3 linked regions of the Sus scrofa genome follow. Each later gene encodes a partner of the first gene's protein in a complex. Links are inferred from orthologs where the notes say so. Each region holds a gene or a part of one and is shown on either strand. Other genes may lie near its edges.

Region 1 (7,818 bases):
TTTAGATATGAATAGTAGTTTTAGCTGACTAAAATTTGGAACTAGAACCCCATGATTAAAACAGAAAGACCAGGGAGTTCTCTTGTGGTGTGGCAGGTTAAGGTTCTGGATTGACACTGCAGTGGTGCGGATTCAATCCCTGGCCCAAGAACTTCCACATGCAGTGGGAATGGCTAAAAAATAAGTTAAAAAAAAAAAGTAAGTAAAAGTAAACTTATCTAAATATCTTGCCAACATATATTCAATTATATTAAAATTAAATTAATACATTAAATAAAAAACCAAATTTAAAAAAAAAAGGAAAGAGTAAAATTCAGAAAGGGCACCTTTCTCTTCTTTCAGCAGGACCCTCTCCAAAAAGCGTGATGGGTTCCCCCAGGGCTCTAAGGCAAGCCTTGACCTCTGAGTCATCTGTAGAAACATTGATTTGCCGGGCTCGCTTCCTTCTCTCAAATTCAGCTAACACTTCGGCCTGTCGCTCACTGATGTGCTCTTCAATTTCAAACACTTCTCCTATAAAAAGAACAGGCAGCATCAGCATAATCACCAGATCTTCAAGTAGGGAGAAAGAATTTCTTACAATTGGAGTATATCTCTAAGGAAAGTTAATTGTCCTATCTACTTCACACTTAACAGTTTATGGATTCTTGGTTTATTAAAGTATGCCAATCATAGAAAAATAATCAGGATTTAAAAGACAGGAAAATGGTTGAAGCCATACTGTTTCATCTGGCAACCTTAACACTTATATAAACATACAATTGACATGAGACAATGAGAGTACAGAGTCCCTTTAACAAGTTAACTGGGCTTTCTATCCACAGTAAAACAGAAACACTATTTTAACAACTGCTAGAGCTACTCTCTAAACTAGTCTTAGTAGGAGTTTCCATTGTGGCAACACCAGATCCCCTAACCCACTGTGCCAGGCCAGGGATCGAACCCGCACCTCTGCAGCAACTGGAGGCACTGCAGTTGGATTCTTAACCCACTTTGCCACAGAGGGAACTCTGACTATAAGGCTTTTTGGATAATCCAGCAGCCCAGATACAAGCATTTGGATGAAAAATGAGAAGTATAGTAGTGATGCTGTTATGTTTAAAACAACATAAAAAGTTAAAAAAGTCACCAGAGCACATGTGTACAGAAAAAGAAAATGTGTGGGAGTATTAATAGAAATGACAGAATCCTATCTGCAGAGGTCTTTCTACACCTTTCAGTACGATTTGAATTTCTTATGACAAATATGAATAATTTTATTTTAAAAACAGTGGACCACTAGTTACTGACATCAAAAGATATCCTCAACAGTAAACAGAATGACAAATGCAGGTTACGAAATAATTTATCATGATTTCATTTATAGAAAAAAATCTTGTATTTCTGTAGCTTTATTAAATTCTTGGAATAATATAGACCTAATTAATAAGGATTATAGGCTTTTCTACCTCACACATTTCTAACTAATCTCTTTCAAAATAAAAACAGCTATTGCTTTTAATTGAAAGAGATATTTCATTTTGGGTGAAAAATAATTGGAAAACTGAACAAGTTAGAATATTATGAACCAGGGTAGTTCCAAACCAATGCCAGAACTATCCTAGATATCCATAAGATAAGTGGAATCAATCTGAATCCAAACACACACTGAATAAATTCCCAGTAAAATTATTAACAATTCAGGGAAGAAAACCTGTATAAAAGGTTTTAAGAAAAAAGGTTCTGGGAGTTCCCGTCGTGGCGCAGTGGTTAACGAATCTGACTAGGAATCATGAGGTTGCAGGTTCGATCCCTGGCCTTGCTTAGTGGGTTAATGATCCGGCGTTGCTGTGAGCTGTGGTGTAGGTTGCAGACGCAGCTTGGATCCCGAGTTGCTGTGGCTCTGGCATAGGCTGGCGGCTACGGCTCCGATTAGACCCCTAGCCTGGGAACCTCCCATATGCCGTGGGAGTGGCCCAAGAAATGGCAAAAAAGACAAAAAAAAAAAAGTTAAAAGAAAAAAGGCTCTGGGGTAATGTTAAATGGGTAGGCAGAAAGTATGGCCTTCGAAAGATGCAAATTTTTGTTTGTTTTTTTGTTTTTTTGCTTTGTTAGGGCCGCACTTGGGGCATTTGAAAGTTCCCAGGCCAGGGGTCAAACTGGAGCTGCAGCTGCCAGCCTACAACACAGTCACAGGCTCTTGGGATCTGAACCACGTCTGAGACCTACACCACAGCTCAAAGTAACAGTGGATCCTTTAATCCACATTTGAATGAGGTCAGGGATCCAACCTGCATCCTCTTGGATACAAGTTGGGTTCGTGTAACCCGGGAGCCACAATAGGAACACCAATAGATGCAAGTTTAATATGCGAAGTTTTCTGACACTATACTTGTGATATCTACGTTTAGGAAAGTAAATATTACAGAAATTTTGAGCACCCAAAGTAGAGATGGACTACAGTTTGCATCTTACCAGAGGTTATGTTAATATTCCCTGCTTCAATTCCTGCTTTAAGTCCTTCTTTTCCCAAAATCCCAGACTCTCCTTTGGCCAGCCGTTCCCTCTCCTTTTCTTCCAAACTTCCATAATAGATGTGTGGTTTCTTCACAACAGGAGCGACTAAGTCATCAGGTGCCTTAGTTTTGGTTGCCTGTTAAATCAAAGACCTGGATGAACCTAAAGCTTAATCTCAGCAATTTGCTAGCTTCCCAGAGGATGAAGCTTATCCAGAGCTTCAATCCTATTCCCTCCCCCAAAAAAGACAAGTTGGACACCAATTAAGATGTATCTTCCCTGATGGAGTGGGGCAGGGGGGAGTGTTCCAGTCTCTCAGTCACTTTAAGTTTTGCAGATAGGAAGAGATAGATAAAACTAGTGAATTTCTCTTGTGATTTTTCTATCAATGGTTTGCTTTGGAACATGTTTACTTCATTTGGTTGGAGGTGCAATCTCTTCTTGGGTTTTATGAAACTTTCAGGGCCACTGCTCATCACAGGAGATATCAAGAATAACTGAAATAACCAACGCCATGATAAAGGGGAACAAGTTATAAAGTTACCGGTCTATACAATTCAAACGTTTTCAGACGCGAGGTAGTAGATATGAAGTTAGGAGGCCTCATTATAATCAAGACTGACACTGTCGTAAATCTTGGCCAAAACCCTACTCCCTTTCAGAGCTCCGTTTCTGAACGAGACGGAAGAGGTATTTACATTTTAGGGTTGTTGTAGTAAGAGATGAAAATGACCTAAAACACACTCCGGTCACTCAAAGAAAAACGCTGCTCAGCTCTCTAAGACCAGACCGAGTCTGGCAGCCTTCCTCCTCAGTCCTCCACCGCCCGTTCCCTAACGGCTCTGTTCTGCACGGACCCCCCACCCCTCCGCCCTCCCTGCCCTGCCAGAGTGAGCCGAGATCCGTACCGTGGAGGAGGCTCGCGAGGAAGCCATGCTGGGCTCCGAGGCCGCGAAGCTTCAGCAAGAGGCGAGCCCTACGTTCCAGACCATCCACCGCGCGCCTAACAAAGCGGAATTACGTCCAGACCGGAAGTGGGCCGAGGGCCGAAGCCGCGTCCTGGGCGCCGTAGAGCATGATGGGAATCGTAGTAGGAAAGGCTCTGGGTGCGTTGAGCGTTGTGACACGTACAGCCTCTAAAAAGAGCACGCGGAGGACGAGGTTCTGCGAGGAGAGAGACTCAGAGCAACCTGGGAGGTGTAGTGCAGTTGACATAGCAGAAGATTCGGGGTGGGCGCTGAGGTTCCGGGAAAGGGCTGAAAAGAGGTAGGTGCTTCAAGTCGCGCGCCTCCGGACTGAACTCCGGGAGTGAAACGGCACCTTCCGGGGTCTGCTGCCGCTCCCGGCCCTGCGAAGAGCTTTAAGTCCTCCTAGAGTGGTGGACCATGTTGCCATGGAAACCTTTGCCCCGGACCCAGGAGTGCGGTCCTGTAGCCGCGAAAGGAGTGTGCTTTCCTCCGCTGTCGGGAAGTTCTCTCGGCAGCTTCTTTTGAGCTGGGTGGATTTTCGGTGCATTTGGGCAGTGGCGAAAGAATAAGCTCGAAGAGCCCTCTAGCGCCAGAGTAAAATAAAGAGCCAGCGGAGGAGCCATGGCCTGTGTTTGGTCTATATTACTCGGAGTGAGATGAAGAATGTCAGGCGTCAGGTAAACTGCGCGCAAGCAGCTCTGCACAGCCCTGTGTTGCCCTGGGTGTTGGGGCACCAGAGATCGACAAGACAAGGTTTTTGCTCCCGTATCGGGGGTGGAGATTTTTCAAAATTTATTGTTGTTTCCCGAGCTGGACAGAGCCTCCTACCCTCTCCAAGGGCAGTTACAATAATAATGGCTACATATTTGAGCGTTTACTAAATGCCAAGTTACGTACGTTACAGGCACTTATCTGCATCACGTCATTCAATCCATACAACACCTGAGTACAGATACAAGGGAAGAAGCTAAGATCTAGTGAAAGGCGAAGCTAATTGTCCAAAATCAGTGGCAACAGAATTTGAGTCTCTGCCCTTTGCCTCCAAAGCAAGCACTTTTACCCATTACACTATACTTCTTCATAGTGGTGAGCTTTTTACAGCTTGCGGGAAAGTTAGAATGTATCACAGTTGTTTTTTTCTTTTAAGCATTCTCTTGGAACTTTGGCTTCCTCTTGCCTTTGTCTACGTTGGAATCAAGATCCTATTTGATTTGGGAGTTCCTGTCGTGGCGCAGCAGAAACGAATCCGACTAGGAACCAGAGGTTGTGGGTTTGATCCCTGGCCTTGCTCAGTTGGATCCGGAGCTTAAGGATCCGGCATTAGGGTGAGCTGTGGTGTAGGTCGCAGACGCGGCTCGGATCTGGCATTGCTGTGGCCCTGGCGTAGGCCGGCAGCCACAGCTCTGATTAGACCCCTAGCCTGGGAATTTCCATATGCTGTGGGAGCGCCCTAAAAGGACAAAAAAAAAAAAAAAAAAAAATCGTATTTGATTTAGTACCAAAAAATTTGAAATGTAATGTGTCAGTGTTTTGTGTTGATAATATCATTTGTCTCAGTCCCAGGCTTCATGGGAGGAGGGGAAATTTTATCTTTTGTATACTTCACAGTCCCTAGCTACATCCTAGAAACATGTAATAATCATTTATGTTTGTACATACTTTTTTTTTGCTTTTTAGGGCCGCACCTGCGGCATATGGAGGTTCCCAGGCTAGGGGTCTAATCAGAGCTACAGCTGCCGGCCTGTACCACAGCTCACCACAACACCGGATCCTCAACCCTCTGAGTGAGGCCAGGGATGGAACCCTTAACCTCATGGTTCCCAGATAGATTCATTTCCACTGCGCCACGATGGGAACTGTACATACCTCATTTTATTTATTTATTTATTTTGTCTTTTGTCTTTATTGGGCTGCAGCAGTGGCATGTAGAGCCGAGTCTGCAATCTATACCACAGATCACAGCAATGCTGGATCCTCAACCCACTGAGTGGGGCCAGGGATCGAACCTGAAACCTCATGGTTCCTAGTTGGATTTGTTTCCGCTGCACCATGAGGGGAACTCCAGAACTATACATACTTTAAAGGAGGTTTCACTTACCTCATTCTCACTTTTTTTGTGTGGTCTTTTTTAGGGCCACACCTGAGGTATATGGAAGTTCCTAGACTAGGAGCCAAACTGGAGCTATAGCTGCCGGCCTACACCAAAACCATAGCAACACAGGATCCAAGCCCTGTCTGCAACCTATACCACAGCTCACGGCAATGCTGGATCCTTAACCCACTGAGCAAGGCCAGGGATCAAACCTGCATCCTCGTGGATACTAGTGGGATTCTTAACCTGATAAGTCTCAGCTAGAACTCCAAGGCTGAGACATTTGTTAATCAACTGAATAGCTTCAACTTTATCTGTAAAATAGGGTAATTTTGCCAGTGTCATAGTATTTCTGTGTTAAAAATGAGAATGTACAAGAAAAGCATAGCATGGTGCTCGAGAAAAGTTCATTTCACTTTTTGAATTTGAATATCTAAATTTATTCAGCAAAACATATACTGATTGGTTATTATAGACATTCTCTACAGGATGCTGTTGGGAATATAAAGATGATGCCATTGGAGTTTCCTTCGCGGCTCAGCGGTTAACAAATCTAACTAGGATCCATGAGGATGCGGGTTCCATCCCTGGCCTTGCTCAGTGGGTTAAGGATCCGGGGTTGCCATGAGTTGGGGTGTAGGTCGAAAATTCGGCTCAGATCCTGTGTTGCTGTGGCTGTGGTGTAGGCTAGAGGCTATAGCTCCGATTTGACCTCTGGCCTGGGAACCTCCATATGCTGCAGGTGCAGCCCTAAAAAGAAAAAAAAAATGATGCCCTCAACAGCTTTTAAACTCAGTTTAGGAGTTTCCTTCTAAAGAAAATCTTTTTTTTTGAGTTCCCGTCATGGCGCAGTGGTTAATAAATCCAACTAGGAACCATGAGGTTGCAGGTTCGATCCCTGGCCTTGCCAAGTGGGTTGGGGATCTGGCATTGCCGTGAGCTGTGGTGTAGGTTGCGGAAGAGGCTTGGATCCTGAGTTGCTGTGGCTGTGGTGTGGGCTGGCAGCTGCGGCTCTGATTCAACCCCTAGCCTGGGAACCTCCATATGCTGCAGGAGCGGCCCAAGAAATGGCAAAAGTCAAAAATAAAGAAAAGAAGAAAACCTTTTTTTTTTTTTTTTTTTTTAAGCATACAAATTACTTTGGATTTTCATATTCTAGGGTGTTCCCTTGGCCTCTGTGCATACTTGTTCTCTCTGCCTCGGATGCCCTTAAGCCCCTTTCTCTGCCTGCCCTTCACACATCAACTAAGACATCATCTCTACCAGGAAGTCTTGCACATCCCTCTTCACCCCACTGGACTGAGTGCTTATGTGATACCATTGCGTTACCCTCCTCAGCGTTCTTATTACACTGTATTGAAATTTTCTCTTTGTTTGTTTTTTCCACAGACTGTGGCTATGCCTTTTAACTGTGTAGCTGGAGTACAAGAAGTGTTTGTTTAATGAATGACCTATCCATTTAGCACCTACTTAGACCCTAAGGATAACCCTGTGAATTGGTGAGTTAGAGGGAGTTTTCCTAAGATTTAGTAAACTGATTTTAGTATTTGCAAGTGATCACAAATCCCTCACAATTTGCACATAATATTAATCAAATTTAATGGCTTGTGTATATTCCTATTAACTACACTGAATTAAGATGTGATATTTAATTTTACTCTCTTAGCTAGAGTATTTGCTTGTGAACAGAGCATGAGATTGAAATGATTGTTGTCTAGAATCCTCTTTTATAGGCATCTTGCTTGTTTTTCTTTTTTTTTTTTTTGGTGGGGTGGGGGGTATTGGCTGTGCCCACGGCATATAGAAGTTCCCAGGCCAGGGATCAAATCACACCACAGCAGGACCTGAGCCACAGTAGTGATAATGCCGGATCCTTAACCCGCTGAACCACCATGGAACTCCTAGGCAGCTTGCTATTGTAAGTTCTGGAAGAAAGAATTTTGTGGAACTTCGTGGAACTTCATCATGTAATAATCACACAGCTAAAGACCTAGAAGTCAGTGTGTGAATCTAGATGAGTCTTTTGTACTGCCATTTGTTTTAGTGTGGTTGCTTACAAATTGATCTGATATTTGTAGCTGAGATTTATCTTTTCCATTTGTTCCTCCTGTCTGCAATCTTTTTTTTTTTTGTCTTTTTAGGGCCACACTCGCAGCATATGGAGGTTCCCAGGCTAGGGGTTGAATCGGAGCTATAGCTGCTAGCCTACGCCACAGCCACAGCAACGCTGGATCCAAGCCACATCTGGGACCTACACCACAG
Region 2 (7,842 bases), on another chromosome or scaffold:
GGCTAAAAGCGAGACTGTGGAGCTCGGGGATACTTGAGGTTTGCAATTTTATTAAGAAAACAAAAACATAACCTATACAAAAAGTAAAGTTCTGTCCCTGCAGATGGCCCGTCACGGGGGAGGGCAGCCCGAGTCCTTGGGCATGGCATGCTGCCTGCTACGCGTCCTGCTGCTGGATGAAGGGGTTGGGGATGGCCTCCATGCCGTCCTGCGGGCAGATGAGCACCACGGAGGTGCCCCGGCACACCACCAGGCCCAGCTGCCGGGTGTCCTCTGTGAGCTTGTACTGGTCGTCCGGGTCTGTGAAGAAAGAGGTGGTGGAGTCTCAGAGGCCCAGGTGTGGAGATGTGCCTGGGGAACTGCGGCAGGGGTGGGCTGGGGGAGCGTGCTGGCCGGCGGGTGGGTGGGCGGGAGCAAGTGCCCAGGACGCGCTCTGGAAACTGGCACATGCAGCCTACCCTCCTTCCACAACGAGAACACCACCTGGGGGACCGCATCCTCGGATGGGCTATGGAATCAAAAGCCATCTCTAAAATCTCAGAAACCCTAGAGGGCCACCATTCACCCTCGTGCCAATGGGCTGTTCACAGTGAGGCAAGGGACCCCAGGGAAGTGGTGACAGTGAGAGTCCTCCTGAGGTCACAACAGTTAAGCCTCCCTTACTGTTAGCCCAAGACAGTGGGGTGGGGGGGAAACCGAGTAGGGGTGAGGCCCCCCCCACGACCAGACCCTACAGAAGGACAGCTGTCCAGGCCCACCCCTCCTCTCCCTTCTTGGAACTGAGGAGACGGGGTAGGGTCTCTGCCCCAGGGCTGTTCTGGGGTGAGGAAGGGGCACATACTCTGCTGACAAGCAGCCAGGGCCCCAGTGGGAGCAGGCTCTGAGGCAGGAACAACAGGCATACTGTAGGGCATGCCCTAGTTCACTAGGTTCCCAACACAGAGGGCATCCTTTTCCAGAAAGTCATTCGCCCAAGGAAGCCAGGCCAGGATCCCAGTGGGGGACTCTGGGCAGACCCAGTGGGAAAGAAAATGAGGGCAAGGCAGGAGGCCCCACAGAATCGCTTCTCCCACAAGGAGGGCCTCTCTCCCTGGTGGCCTTGTGACCCTGCTGTGTGGCTGCAATCACTCTTCACCAGAGTAACTCGGGTCTCAACGTCCACAGTCCCTGGAGGAGCAAGACACTGCTTTTCTTCTCGGCCCTGACGTCCCCTTCACGCCTCTGTCAGGAGCTGCAGAAGTTGCTGGCTGAGGGGCAGGGACTGGCCTGACCACAGGTGGGGAGAGTCTGGGGACTTGGGGAGAAAGGGACTGGGGGCAGAGAATGGGGGGACCCTCTGTCAGCAGCAGGGAGTTACTGCACAGGGACAGCAGGAGGTAATGGGTCTGAAGGAACCCCAGGGCAGCTGGGTCTCTCATGGGGCCGTGGCATCTTTCTGGCCAGACCAGGCACACTCCAAACCCACTGGTGCTCAGGGTCAGTGATGAGCGGATCAGCAAATACTCCGCACCTCTGAAGGCTCAAGATGATGGGCTACTGGGCCTCGCCAGGACCGTGAGAGATCAAACACATCTGTCAGCCGTCTGATCCACAAGGCACAACATTCATGGTTAGCACTTGGGTGGCAGCTGAGTGACTTTGGAACAGTAAGGAAAGCCTGGCAAGGACGCTTGGAGCCCCGCCAGCTGCACTCACCTCTCATGTATTCGATGGTGCCATCCAGCACGAGGTTGAGGAGTGGGTCAAACCCTTTCAGGATTCCACTGGCTTGTCAGAATCACCGAGAAAAGAAGAGAGACAGAGAGATGGAAGATCAGTGGTCATCCTGGGGCAGGTTTGAACTGCATCCAGGTGTCGGCAGGATGGGGGTGCCCCACCGGCAAGGGGTCACCCTGCAACCAGATGCAGATGTGGGAGCAGCTGCTCTGGAGACAGGGGACCAAGGAGAAAGCGAGGGAAGGGCTCCCAGAAGGGGAGCAGTGTCAGCTGACCCCAAACCACCCCCACCAGAACAGTCAGCGAAACCTTGTGCCTGTTTTGTAAACAGTTTAACTGGCTCACAGCCATGTTCATTTGCTAAATGTCGCCTGTGGCTGCTTTCCTGCTGCAATGGCAGTTGAGTGGTTTCAAAAGAGACAGTCTGGCCTGCAGAGCTGAAAATATTCCATGTCCGGTCTTCTATAGAAAATGTCTGTCGGCCCCACCTGAGTTTGAAGCCCTGTCATTGCGTCCTTTTCCTGCTTGACCCTCCCCTACGGAACAAAGACTGTGATAGAACCTACTTCATGGGGTTATGGAGAGTGGACAATGCATTCGGGCACTTGGCCTGGGGGCCGGGAGCCCACACCTGTGGGTCTGCCCCCCTCAAGGGGACGGGTGCACTGTGGCAGGCGGGCAGGATTCTGAGACAGAACCGGCATTCCCTCACCCCGAGAACACGCCTGGGAACCCCCTCCCCTCAGTGTGGAACAGGAGCAACGATGGGACATCACTCTGTGGTCATGTGACAGAGACAGAAGGCTTCGCAGCTGTAATTAAGGTTCAAGAGTCGGCTGACTTTCAGTGAACCTAAAGGGAGGCTATGCTGGGTAGGCCCAACCTGAAAGGTGAGCTACTAAAGGAATGGGCACTTTCTGGACAAAAGAGATTTTCCTGCTGGCTTTGAAGAAGCAAACTGCTAGGCGATGGACAGAGCCCATGGCAAGGGCAGCAGGCAGCCTCCAAGAGCCAAAAGGGTCTCTGGCCCACTTTAGCCAGAATACGGGGACCTGAGTCCAACAACCAGTGGGCAGGCAGGAGGAACTGGGTCTCAGATGACAAGCTCCCAGAGACACTCTTTTATGGCCACCTTGTCAGCGACCTGAGGCACCCAGAGTATAGAAACCACGCACACTGTTGAGATAAAAACGTGTGTTGTTTAAGCAGCTAACTGGTGGCCGTTTGCTCCGCAGCGTTGCAAACATAAGCACCCCGAGACGAGACCTATCTCCTATGTTTCAGAGCTAGGATGGTACTAGCATGTTCAAATCCTCACTGTGCCAGGTACCTCGACTGGCAGGCACTGACTGTGCTTTTAGCCATTCTGATGCTACTCAACTGTCCACAGCTCAGGGAAGGAGGGATCTGGAGCACTGTTTAAGAAACTGAAGATCAGAGGAAGCTGAATAAGTGAAATGTTGACCTTGAATTATCTGTCAGGGACTTCCTATCGTGGCTGAGTGGTTAGCAAATCTGACTAGGAACCATGAGGTTGCAGGTTTGATCCCTGGCCTTGCTCAGTGGGTTAAGGATCTGGTGTTGCCGTGAGCTGTGGTGTAGGTCGCAGACACGGCTCGGATCCCGAGTTGCTGTGGTTCTGGCATAAGCGGCGGCTACAGCTCCGATTAGACACCTAGCCTGGGAACCTCCATCGGGAACCCTGTTAACACTTTACCTGCCTTGAACTCTTTAATCCCCACTGCTGAGGTGGGCGGAGTCAATAATAGCCTCTGACAAAGGAAGAGACTGAGGCTCAGAAAAGATAGTGCCTTGCCCAAAGTTCCACAGCAGCTGAGTGGACAAGAGGGCTCTGCCATGGACGGCACTGCCCGCATGACCCTGCAGTCTCCTTACCAGATTCCAGTAGGAGACGCAGAGTTAAAGCCTCACAATAACAGCAGAAAGCTGCAAACTGTGTGACAGGTACTAGTAGAAGCTCATAACAAAGAGGCCTGACCTGGGCTGGGGAGTCAGGGAAAGCTTCCCAGAGCAATGGTATTGAGCTGCCAGTGGGGAAATGACCAAGTTAACTTGGTAGCCAGTTAACCTGGTAAAGGTGCTCAAGACAGAGAAAACAAGTATCTTTACAGCCCTGTGGCGGTTGAGAACTCCCAGCATTACTCTGGAGCAAAAGGTTCCTCCTTTACCCTGGAACAACCGTGAACAAGGAGATGGGATTTCTTTATAACAGATCCCTCTGGTGGCTTCATAAAAATTGACCATAGGGCCATGGTTCTCAACCGGGTCAGTTCTGTCCCCCAAGGGACAGTGGGCCATGTCTGGGAGGTCTGTGGTCGTCACGAATGGGGGGCTCCTGGCATCAAGTGGGTGGGAATCAGAGATGCTGTTTCACACTCTACAACGCCCAGGACAAACCTCCACAGAGAACACTGCTGCCCCAATGTCAGCAGTGCCGAGCCTGAGAAACCCTGGTGCAGGAGCACGGTGAGGAGCTGGGGCAGCCACCTGGGTGAGAAAGAACCACAGCAGGCAGAGCAGTGAATCCCAGCCACTGGGTTTTGGGTTAGTTTGGGGCCTTTTCCCGTGCCTCAGTTTCCCCACCTGCAACAGGGCCGTAATCGTTCCTACCTCCCGGCGCCTTTTGCAAGCCGGCACGAGTTCTCCGAACTAAACGATTAAAGCGCCGCCCAGGTATTCGTCATCAGTACCGCTGCCCGTTACCCCGTGTGGACCTTAAGAGGGGGAGAGTGGGGGGGGGAGGCAGGGGGCGGGGCCTCACCTTCGCGGCCTCCCTGGAACTTCACCCGAATAGTCTTGTCGATGTACTTGGACAGGTCCAAGATGCTTTCCTTCTTTTTCTTCTCTTTGTCCTGCGAGGAAAGCACATTGCGTGAGGGGGGAAGCGCGGCCAGATTCTGCCCCGCCAGCCCCTCCAGCCAAGCCAGCCGCGCCGCACGCTCACCGCCATCTTGCCGCCGCCGCCGCGCCGCGCCCTTTGGCCTCTGCCCCCTGCACATGCGCGGCGGACGCCTGGCGCCTGCGCAGCGCGGGGCGCCAAGGCGTTGCTGGGAAACATCTGCCGACGCCTGCGGCGGGGACCGGGCGACATGGCGGCGGTGGCATCGCTGGCTCGGCTCGCGGCGGCCTTCGTTCTCCTCGCAGCCCAGGTGAGGGCGGCGCCGACCCTGGCGGCCTCGCCATCCGCGGTGCCATTACTCCTTGGCCCCCCGACCCCGCATAGGGGTCCGCTCGGCCTGGCCTGGGGGTCAACCTAGGGTGTCCGTGCCCCCTACGCGGTCGGCCCGCGGGCTCGGGGCCGGCAGTGACCTTGCCGGACTGTCCCCGGCGCGTCTGCCTTCCCTGCCTGGAAGCCCTTCCCAGCCGCAGCGTCACCAGGCCCCGCCGGAGTCTTAAGGGGGGGTTCCCCCTCTCCTGCCCCGAGCCCCGCTTGTCCACCCCGGGGTCTCCAACCGCCGCCAGAGACGCCCCTCTAGCTTCGTGACTTTGGTCTGGGAGCTACCCCTCTCCGAGCCTCAGTTTCTCCTTGAGTGCGACGCTATCTGCCTCGACCGTGGTTGTGGTAAACTGTCCAGCGCGGCACCCAGGGTCTGGCGGTGTTGGGACGCAGCCGGGAGCCCAGCCCCGAAGTGGGGTCGAATCGCCGCCGCATCTTTTGCTCGCATGACCTTGGCAAGGGAGTTCCCCGCTTTGAGTATCAGTTCCTTGTCTGCAAAAGGAAGATAAGTGTACAGTATAGAGTCAGCGAGATGATATATGGGATCATGAACGCGCAGCATGCTACTTCTCTGTCATTTAACGTTAAGGGTCTCCAGGTGCTAGTGGGGGGAACTACCACGAGGTGGCTGATATACATTGTCATAAGTGCATCTTTTATTACCAAATCCTCCCCCTCTCTCAGGTTCCACAGCTTAGGCAGTGGTGGCCCCCAACAGCTCCCAAAACTGGGTCATTAGCCTGCTCCAGCCCCTCCACCTCTGCTCCAGGCAGATGGCTTTCCTCTGTGGCCACTTTTGTTCTCTGCACCCCCGGTTCATTCTCAACACTGCAGGAGCGATCTTTCTCAAAGTGTGTCATGTCTTGTGCCCAGAGGAGAGCCTTCTGGCAGCTTCCTGGTGCATTCGTGAAGCCCCTGTGATCTGGCTGTCAGGAAGCTTCCCCTTTCCAGCTCTAGTGTATTGAAGGCTCCCTGCACTTCTCTCTTTCGCCCAGGGTCACAGAATGGTAGGGAGTGGGTTTAGGGCTGTGAGCAAGCAGCCTCCTGTCAGTGGAGAGCTGGTCTTCCTCTTGAGCGCCATGAAGAACCAGGCCCAGGGAGGGTTCTGTATGTAGGGTTGTGTATGAATTGCCTGGTCATACACTTAGCCTCAGCTTCATTGCCCCTCCCTCTCAGGCTCTCTGGGACGCCCCCCTAGCTGCTTTGCCAGCCCCCTGTACTTCCCTGAGCCCTGTTCACTCATTTTCCTCAGCTGTCTCAGCAACTCGAGGCAGGGACCTTGAGCTGTCTGGGTATTCCAAAGGAGTGCAAAGCTAGAAGCAGGGGGAGGGTCATGGAAACACCACAGAATGAGGGATGCAATTGGCCTGGGAATGCTTTTCAGGAGCAGCGGTGCCTGCAGGGTGTTCTGAAGGACGAGTAGGAGTTTGCTAGGTCAGGAGAGCAGATGGAGGGTGTTGCAGGTGATGTGAGCAGGGCCAGGCAGAAGCGTGAGAGCTTTATTTGGGGAAGCTGTGGCTCCGCTCTAACTGGTGTATTTTCAGTACAGTGGTTCCACCTGAGAATGGTGTCATCCCAGTGGAGGCTCAGGTGCACTGGCAGGGAGGCCAGGGAGGGAACGTCAGGGGAGTGGCTCCAGGCCGAGGGTAAAGGGCAGATGGAGCCTGTGGCCCTCCCAGGCTGGGGTCCAGGGAGTGGGCTGGACAGGTCAGAGCTGCATGCTGGAGGCCCACGTGATGAGGTGTTTGGACTTTATTCTCAGCTGACTGAACTTCATCCTGAGTGTGGGGAGCCAAGAAGAGTGTTGGAGAGAGGGAGGAGCTCTTGGGCCATTGCTTTCCGGAACAGAACCCTCCCTGGGCCTGGTTCTTCATGGCGCTCAAGAGGAAGACCAGCTTTCCACTGACAGGAGGCTGCTTGCTCACAGCCCTAAACCCACTCCCTACCATTCTGTGACCCTGGGCGAGGGGTTGCACCTCCTCAACTAGACAAACACACACTCCCCAGTTACTATAAGGCATGTACATAAAGGCCTATGTGGGGCCTGTTACTAAGCAGATCTGACCCAACATTGGTGCTGTCTCTGCCCCTGCCATTGCCCCACTCCACCTGGCCCTTTACCCATACACTTTCCCCCTAACCTGCCCCTTCTCCCCTCCACTGCCCGCCTCCGCCTGCCCCTTCCCCCTAACCCTTTCCACTTGCCCCTTAACCCTCTCCCACTTTCCTTCACCTGAACATCTTTCTCTAAGCATCCCAGGACCTAATTTTCCCCTCCTAGAACCCACCAAGTCTTAGGAAGGCTGCGCCCAACCTGGACCCTTGAGCTTCTCCCAAAGCCCTCTGACGTGGATGCTTTCACCATCATCATGAAGCATAATTTCCCTAGAGGCTCCTGAACTCACTTTATGATTGTGATGTGTTGGGAAGTGGCCTGTCTTCCATAGTCCCAGCTGTTCTTGGTTTTCCAAACTGGGATGGGCCACACTGGAAGGCAGGGTACTCACATCCCGGTGCCCTTTTGAAGAACTTCTCCCAGCGCTTAACTTTGGGGAGGAGACCAAATTCACATTGACAATGTGGTTTCTGGTATTTGATTCAAGCCCAGGTTTATTTCTTAACGGAAAGCCAGTTGTGCACATTGGGGGAGGAATCTGGGAAGTGTGTGCTTGTGCTTTTATTTTTTTTATTTTTTGGTCACCCTGTGTGCAGCGTATGGAGTTCCTGGCCCAGGGAATCAGATCCGAGCCACAGCTGTGACCTACACTGCAACTGCTGGATCCTTAACCCACTGTGCCAGGCTGGGAATTGAATCTGCATCCCAGCGCTCCAGAGACGCTGCTGATCCCAATCCTATTGTGCTACAGTGGGAACTCCTGCTCTTGTGC
Region 3 (7,691 bases), on another chromosome or scaffold:
GAAACTTAGTCACAGACAAGGTGGGTAACTGGTATAACTATACAGCTGGTGGACAATGGGGTCAAGCTGTGAATCCAGGCAGTCCTGCCACCTGAGTTTACATTTTAGACCACAATGCCCTAGAAGGGTCAGACTAACTTCCCAATACAGCAAAGAATGAACAAATGTGGTTTTATTTTTTATACTGAATAATAACATGTTCCAGTATTTGAAAGATCTGCATAATTCAGTGAACTAGTATTTTCTAAATGACCAGAGCTTGATCTTATAAAATCATGCATATGTAAAAGACCCATTCCAAGTGCAAGGTGGACCAATTATATGTAAAAAGAGTATGAAAAGTTCACTTATACAGTCTCAGATTCCACACCACACCTTACCTTTAAGAAACTACCACTCACTTAGTTTGGCTGTAGCATCAAAGACAGGTATCTACACAAAATACTCCTCCCTTTTCCAACTATCTGTCTGTGTGGGGTTAGCATTTCTTCAGTCATAACATATCACAACAGATTAAATGCAGAAAAAAAGATCTGAGTTCCCAGATGTCAACTATTTTTTTTTTTGGTCTTTCTGCCTTTTCTAGGGCCGCTCCTGCAGCATATGGAGGTTCCCCGGCTAGGGGTCTAATCGGAGCTGTAGCCATTGGCCTATGCCACAGCCACAGCAACATGGGATCCGAGCCACATCTGTGATCTACACCACAGCTCACGGCAACACCAGATCCTTAACCCACTGAGCAAGGGCAGGGATTGAACCCACAAACTCATGGTTCCTAGTCGGATTCATTAACCACTGTGTCACGACGGGAACTCCCCAGATGTCAACTATTAAGCCAAGCATTAAAGAGATTTGCAAATGTAAAACAAAAACACTTCTCCCTAAATATTTTATTTTAAAAAAGTTATCATTCATAAAAATGTTACTTATGTCAACAATATTTTTAAGGAGTTCATTAATATTTTTTAAATTTCTCAGTTTTAGTTTTTAGTTAAGTATTGATAGGTCAAATCCACATCAAACAAAACCACACTGTCCAGTACTACCATTATGTACTAGGAAAGGTGTCTTACACAGCACATCTCACCAAATCCTGGCAACCCCATGAGAGAAACCATAGTACTCCTGCTTACCAATGAGGAAGTGAAGTCTGCAAAGGTACCCACCCCCCCGCCCAATGTACCCCAAATAGAAAGTGACTGAGCCAGCACAGGAAACCAGATCTGTTGGACCCCAAAACCTTTGCTCTTAATGACTATACTGAGTCCATGAATAGGCATCAAAACACAACAGCTTAACGGGTGTTAAGCTTTTGGCTTCTGAGAACAATTGACATTTAAAAAGCCATGAATAGAAGTGCATGACTTACTTTATATATCTCTTCATATGTTTCTTCATCAATTTCTATAGTTGTCACAGTTTCTTCCACATCTCCCAATATCATATTTAAGTGCTGATCATACGCCTGAAGTGGGACGGCAAGGGACCAAAAATTTAATAAGCAAATTAGGAGATAATGAACAGGGCCTACAATACACAAATGGCTCAATTACGAGTAACACATAGTACTTAAAGCACAAACTTATAATGCATATAATCCTGCTGTGCTACAATACAATGTTTCTTTGAAGATCATTTCCAATGATAACTGATTTGATGCAAATATAAAACTGTTTATGGTCAAAAATGAATTCACTCAAAATATCTTGAAGTTACTTTTAAAGTGTCCACCCTATTTGTTATCTAAGGCAGTCACATAAATATGTCATGGAATTTCATTTTGAAAAAAGTTAGTTCATCACTTTTCAGTACATTTCTTTCAATTCCACCTATAACAGAGTGACAAGAAATATACCACAAAGGAAATAAAATTCTCTGTTTAACTGCTGAGATGATGGCACCGAAATCTCCTAAAGGCACAAGACACTGTCATTCAACCCTCCCTGCCCTAAACACTGCAAAGGAAAGTAAGCAACACTGCAGCCTCGCCAGAACTAGCTGTTTGGCACATGTGGGCTCGATCAACAAGTACTGCAACTCAGACATTCAGAACTCAAAAGTATAGCATGATCCCATTCATTTTTTAGAGAGGGTGTATACAGTGTAAATATATACATATAGACACATATTCATGTATATCTGTTCTGTGTAAATATACAGAAAAGATCTGAAAGACTATAGACCCAATAGAAGAAATAGGATTTCACCTTTTACTCTACGTATTCCTGTGTAAAATTTTTCACAAGAAAACGCAAATTTATATGCATGTCAGTAATTTAAAGAACATTTAAATAAGAATGGAGGACAAATAAATCTTATTTACAAATAAACAGAAAGGAAAAAATGAAAGAAATGAAAATGTTCTCTAGTAGACATATTTCCATTAAGAGAAAAATGTGTTAAACATATGAATAAAGTACAGTTCATTTGGTGTTTAGAAATACAGGTGACTTTCCACCTCCTCATCTATTCAAAACACTCTTTCACAGTGGACAGTTTTTACATTTCCAAGGGGTGGGGTTAGGGAGCAACATTGAGGAAATAATCTAATTTCAAGGTGATTTAATAAATTTACTCACATGTAACCTGCCTCGAAGCTCTCTGTCATTTCTCATTTTCACATAGATTCGCTCATCCAGGCTGAGTCTGATGAGATCCAGGGGCTCTTCTACAGTGTTGGTAGTTTGTTGCTGATAAAAGAAACAGGCTTAGTAATACAGTTCTAGAGAGTGAAGTTTCTGAACCAGCAGTGCCCTGTGTGACTGTGAGCAAGTTAGTTAACCCCTCTATGCCTCAGTCTACTAATTTTTAAAATGTGTGTAACAGGAATGCCTACCTAATACTACTGTTGTGAGGCTTAAAATACATATATGAAGGCTTAGAACAGTGCCTAGCGTATATTAAGTGCTGGATAAATGAGGGCTGAAACATACCTACACAGAAAGGAGCTGTACAACAAAATAATCATGACTGCACTCTCTTCTCTCAAAATCCAAACTGTCTGACCCCATTTCAGGGTATAGGGAGTTACTGTCTCAGGGTCTTCATCTTTCTTTCATGTTATCATTTAGCAATTGGAAGAACATACACAATGACTACCACATACTAAGTGGAGATGAATGTTTGAGGAAAGATTATGAGTGCAGTGCAGGAGAGGCTGAGTTTAGGGTGCCATCTGGCCAGTAAGATGATTATATTTAGCAGGCAGTATAGAAAAATACTGGTTGAAAGCACTGGCTTTGGAGTCAGGCAGTGTGGGTTCAACCCCTGACTTTGACATTCATGAACTGGGTTTAAAAACCATCTCTAATTCTGTTTCCTTGTTTACAAAATGAGGAAGCCACAATCTTCCCTTCATGAAGATGGCTAGGATGACTGGGGTCCATGTGGAAGGGATGGTTGAAGGGAAGGGTGAGTTGATAAGATTATTTAAGGAGAGCTGCTTCGGGGATTACATAGGGTCATTGGAGGAAGGTGACTGAATGTTACAGTCTCTATAGCCTTAAAGGGCTAGATGCAAAAAAGAGAAAGGAAATCCTGACCTCAACTGCTTCCATCTCCAGATCAACAGATGTTTGTTAAAGACCAGCTAGCCAGTTACTAGATCAGTGATACAGGAGTCAGTCCCTACCCTCAAGGAGTTCATTCTAGTGGAGAAAGGCATATAAGTAAGTAATCATAATACTGTAAGAATATATACATGACAGAGACCTACCTCCCACTGTCCATCCTTTTTATCCTGTAGCTTTAAGTACTGCCTTTTCAAAAGGCCTCCCAGACCATCCAATTAATTCACTCAATGAATATTTGTTGAGTGTTTCCAGCACTGTTCTAAACCCAGAATAGTGAACAAAACAAGACTCTTGCTCTCAAGGGACTCACATTCTAGCTGGGGGAGACAGACATTAAACAAGGAACCATATACTCAATATGAACAAAGAACATGCTATGAGGAAAAATAAGGCAGACTGGGAGAGTGCATTTTATGCAGGTGGCCAGAGACCTATTCTTTGATATGAGGTGAGATTTCAGTAAACAGCTGAAGCTGCGGCCTAATCCACAAAAACATCTGAAGAAGAGCATTTGGAGAAGACGGGACAGCAGGTGAGAAAGCCTGAAGGACCATCAGTTATTCTAAATACCAGCTCCCTGTCTCCTGCCTACCACATCACAGTTTCCATATGTTTCGCATATTTATGTTTACTTGTTATCTGTGCTCCCTCGAATATAAGCCCCAAGTTGGGCAGGTATCTCCCAAGTCAATGCCGATGTCCCTGGTATTTAGAAAGGTTTCTAACTATACAAAGGTGATACTCACTAGTGTTTGTAGACCCTGTAATCATTGTTGCGCTCAGTAATGACAATAACCCACTAAATGTTTTATTAGCCTTTCTATCAGAATCCCGAGAGCTCCGTGAGGCAGGCAAGGATAATGGTTCTCATTCTACAAATCAACGTGAGACTCAAGAGAAAGGAAGTGAGAAGAGTGAGGAATAACTAATTTTCAGGAGGGTTTTGAACAACAAAGGTCTCAGGGCCTGAGGCAAAATTCGGAGGGGGCGCGGTTAACCAAGAGGCAGGTTAAGGCCGTGATGACCCAGAAAGAGGCGGCGTGACAGGCCACTTTCTCGTGAGTTTGGGAAAAGCAACCCTGAGCTTGGGGAAAACAACCCTGGTAAACAAAGCTGGGCACACCCTGGCCTGGACAGGGAGAAGCCGCCCCAGAGCGAACTCTTCAGAAGATACTCACCTGGTCCACGTCGTCCGCCATGTTTCAAACCCTGCGCCCTTTCCGTCCTCTCGCGAGGGCACGAGAGCTGCTCCCTATGCCCACCCCAGTCTCCGGAAACGTGAGGACTCTATGCACTGGAAGTAGAAAGAGGTTGGTTTTACAGCTTCTTGCTTCCTGCAGCTTGCATTGGTCCCTTTGAGGCTGGGGCGGAGCTTCAGCCTGGGCGCAGGCGGGAATCTACCGGAGGGGGCGTGACCAGGCCCTGCACCGCCTGGGGGCGGGGCCGCGCGCGAGCTGCGTCCCGCGGAGACGCGGTGCGTCACGCTCTAGGCGAGTCTTGCCCGGGCAGAGATGGCTCCAAAGCGCTCGGCGGGCAGGGCGCCGCGGGGGCGCAAACTGCGCGGCCAGAAGGCCAAGGGCGAGGGCAAAGCCCGGCGCGAGGAGAAGGAGGCGGGTATGAGCCAGGCTGAGTTGGGGTTGGTAGGGAGGGTGGAAGAGGTTTGGGTGGGGGTAGCAGGAGGCCGGCTTCCTGGAGGTGTGAGCGAGGCATCCTCCCTCCCACCTGCGCTGGGGGCGGTGTTCCGGAGGCCTAGGGAGGCTGGGGGTGTGCACGTGCCCAGGTGCTCCCCGGCGGCCCTGCGCCTTTGCTCTCCTGGCCAGAGGTGATGCGCCCTGAGACGTTCCGCTAGAGCCCAGCCGACCGCGAGTTCCTCTGCGTAGCCTCTTTCTGCTCCTTTTCGCCCCCAGGATGCAGGCGGAAGCAGGGGGCTGAATATGTGAAAGGTACTGCTATTATGTTGTGTCGCCACGAGACGAAGGGACCAAGACTTAGAGTGCTGTGGTGTGTGGAGAGTCCCAGATTTGGATCCCACCTGACAACGTGCATATCGAGTAGGCTGCTTATATTTGTCATGCGCAAAGCAAAACACTTGATTTCCCCTTTAAACCTATCCCTTTCTTACTTTTACCCCATATCAGTCTTTGACCCCTTCATCACTTGTTAAAACAAACTCCTTTTCCCTCCAACACACATCCAGTCCTTCAGAAAGCAAATCCTATCAGTTTAACCTCAAAACCATATCTCAAATCTCTCCACTTCTCTGTTTCCATGGCCACATACCCTGTCGAAACCACCATCACTTTTCAGTTGAACGACTGCAGTTGCCTCTCTACGGGTCTCCCTACTTCTTTTCATCCCCCTGGAGGAGTTTTCTGTGCTGCAGCGCAAAGTACCTTAAAAAAAAAAAATCTGATTTTGCCATGCTCCCACTTCAGACTCTCTGTGTCTTCCCATTGGCATAACAGCCTCCAGATTCCTCACCTTGGCCTACAAGACCCTGTATGATCTGGCTGCTGCTGCCTCTCCTGTTGTCTCTTCCTAGTCTTCTTTGCCAGGTACCTTCCTTCTTGGCCTCCTCACACACACCATGTGATTCCTCACCTGAGCCTCTGCCTAGAATATTTTTCCATGGCTTTGCTGTAGCTGACTTCTCTTCCTCCTGGTCTCAATCCAGGTATTCCTTGAATGTCCTAAGATGGTCTTTTCAGGTGCACCTTATCACAGCTTCTGTCACATCTGTAATGACCTTGTTAATTTATTTGCTTCCTGTTTGCTCTCTCTTACCAGAATTGAAAGTTATAAAAACATCTTAATTTTCTTATCTTGTTCTTTTCCCCTTCCCTGCATATACCAAATGCTTGATAAATAGTTTGTCATTGCATAATACATGTATGCTGTAGAAGGGATTTCTGGGGTTCCTGATATAACTGGGTAGACAGTTAAACTAAGTCACCAGCAAGGTCTCCTGTGACACTAGATTCAATAATTCTGTGATTCTGTACATATTATAAGGCCATCGTCCATTAGGAAATAGTAAAACAGTAACCATTTATAAACTTAAAAAGTGATTCATCTCACAATTAATACTGTGAGTTCCGTTTTATTCACTTAGTCATAAAATAAACATTCCTAATGTGTCAGTACCTAACGTGTGCTGCACACAAACTGGGAGACATGGGACTTAGAGCTTTCTTGGAGGAGCTTAGGGTATGGTAGTGTTGACATTTACAAAAAAATTTATCCAGGACAGTGGTATCATGGAAGATGGTAGGAGGCTTTGTGGCTGGTGAAGGAGTAATTAGGAGAGCTGGGAAATGAATGTTTAACCTGCAGCTTTAGGGATAGGTACTACTTTAGTAAACAGCTGGTAAAGGAGCTTGTCATTCTAATCAGGGAATGTATTTGGAATACATGGCAATTTCAAAAATTTTTTCTAATTGAAGAGGTTTGGAAATGCCACCTGCCTGAGTAGCATTCCCCCATCTAAACACTTCACCTTGTCACCAGCTTGGCATAGTGCCAGTGCTTAATAGTTATATGGGCTTGCATAAATTAGCTTGGGCAAATTAATTTCATCTCTCTGAACCTCATGTTTGACTTGTGGGGTGGTGGTGAGTTTTTCCTGAGAGCATGTGAATCTCCTGGCATGGTCTGTGTGAGGTAATCAGATGGGCCAGCTCATATCAACTCAGCCTGAACATAGGTAGGGGATTACTTAAGCCTCACGAAAATTATGAGCCAGTGCAGCTAGCATAAGTTTCTGAGGCAGCTTCTGGGAAGAGTTAGCATCTTTGCTGTGTTTGTGTAGAGGAGCAGTTTGGTTGTGGTTTTGGATGCAGCTGACACTGATTTGGTGACTCGTCAGTGTAGTTTCTTTGGTTTTTTTTTTTTTTTTTTTTTTTTTGTCTTTTTGCTATTTCTTGGGCCGCCCTTGCGGCATATGGAGGTTCCCAGGCTAGGGGTCGAATCGGAGCCATAGCCACCGGCCTACGCTAGAGCCACAGCAACGTGGGGACTGAGCCGCGTCTGCAACCTACACCACAGCTCACAGCAATGCCGGATCGTTAACCCACTGAGCAAGGTGCAGGGACCGAACCCGCAACCTCATGGTTCCTAGTC

Evidence for each region. Proteins that work in one complex are often made in the same cells at the same time.
Region 2: PRPF4 (region 1) and LSM7 share a complex: the UniProt entries of both Homo sapiens proteins name them as parts of the precatalytic spliceosome. The link is inferred for Sus scrofa from reciprocal best matches to the Homo sapiens genes PRPF4 and LSM7.
Region 3: PRPF4 (region 1) and LSM3 share a complex: the UniProt entries of both Homo sapiens proteins name them as parts of the precatalytic spliceosome. The link is inferred for Sus scrofa from reciprocal best matches to the Homo sapiens genes PRPF4 and LSM3.

What each region holds. Positions count from the first base shown.
Region 1 is NC_010443.5:253,902,408-253,910,225, reverse strand, and holds the start of PRPF4 (U4/U6 small nuclear ribonucleoprotein Prp4), read right to left. Parts: upstream 3,969-7,818; 5' UTR 3,763-3,968; coding exon of another isoform or gene 3,572-3,762; 5' UTR 3,432-3,571; coding exon 3,405-3,431; intron 2,633-3,404; coding exon 2,455-2,632; intron 514-2,454; coding exon 327-513; intron 1-326. Other genes in the region: anaphase-promoting complex subunit CDC26, read left to right, coding at 3,572-3,762. UniProt on the Homo sapiens protein: Plays a role in pre-mRNA splicing as component of the U4/U6-U5 tri-snRNP complex that is involved in spliceosome assembly, and as component of the precatalytic spliceosome (spliceosome B complex).
Region 2 is NC_010444.4:76,244,011-76,251,852, reverse strand, and holds LSM7 (U6 snRNA-associated Sm-like protein LSm7), read right to left. Parts: upstream 4,829-7,842; coding exon 4,682-4,828; intron 4,590-4,681; coding exon 4,499-4,589; intron 1,768-4,498; coding exon 1,696-1,767; intron 301-1,695; coding exon 158-300; 3' UTR 29-157; downstream 1-28. Other genes in the region: SPPL2B (signal peptide peptidase-like 2B), read left to right, coding at 4,827-4,886. UniProt on the Homo sapiens protein: Plays a role in pre-mRNA splicing as component of the U4/U6-U5 tri-snRNP complex that is involved in spliceosome assembly, and as component of the precatalytic spliceosome (spliceosome B complex).
Region 3 is NC_010455.5:70,343,853-70,351,543, forward strand, and holds the start of LSM3 (U6 snRNA-associated Sm-like protein LSm3), read right to left. Parts: upstream 4,829-7,691; 5' UTR 4,772-4,828; coding exon 4,751-4,771; intron 2,691-4,750; coding exon 2,580-2,690; intron 1,466-2,579; coding exon 1,370-1,465; intron 1-1,369. Other genes in the region: XPC (DNA repair protein complementing XP-C cells), read left to right, coding at 5,084-5,186, 5,480-5,623. UniProt on the Homo sapiens protein: Plays a role in pre-mRNA splicing as component of the U4/U6-U5 tri-snRNP complex that is involved in spliceosome assembly, and as component of the precatalytic spliceosome (spliceosome B complex).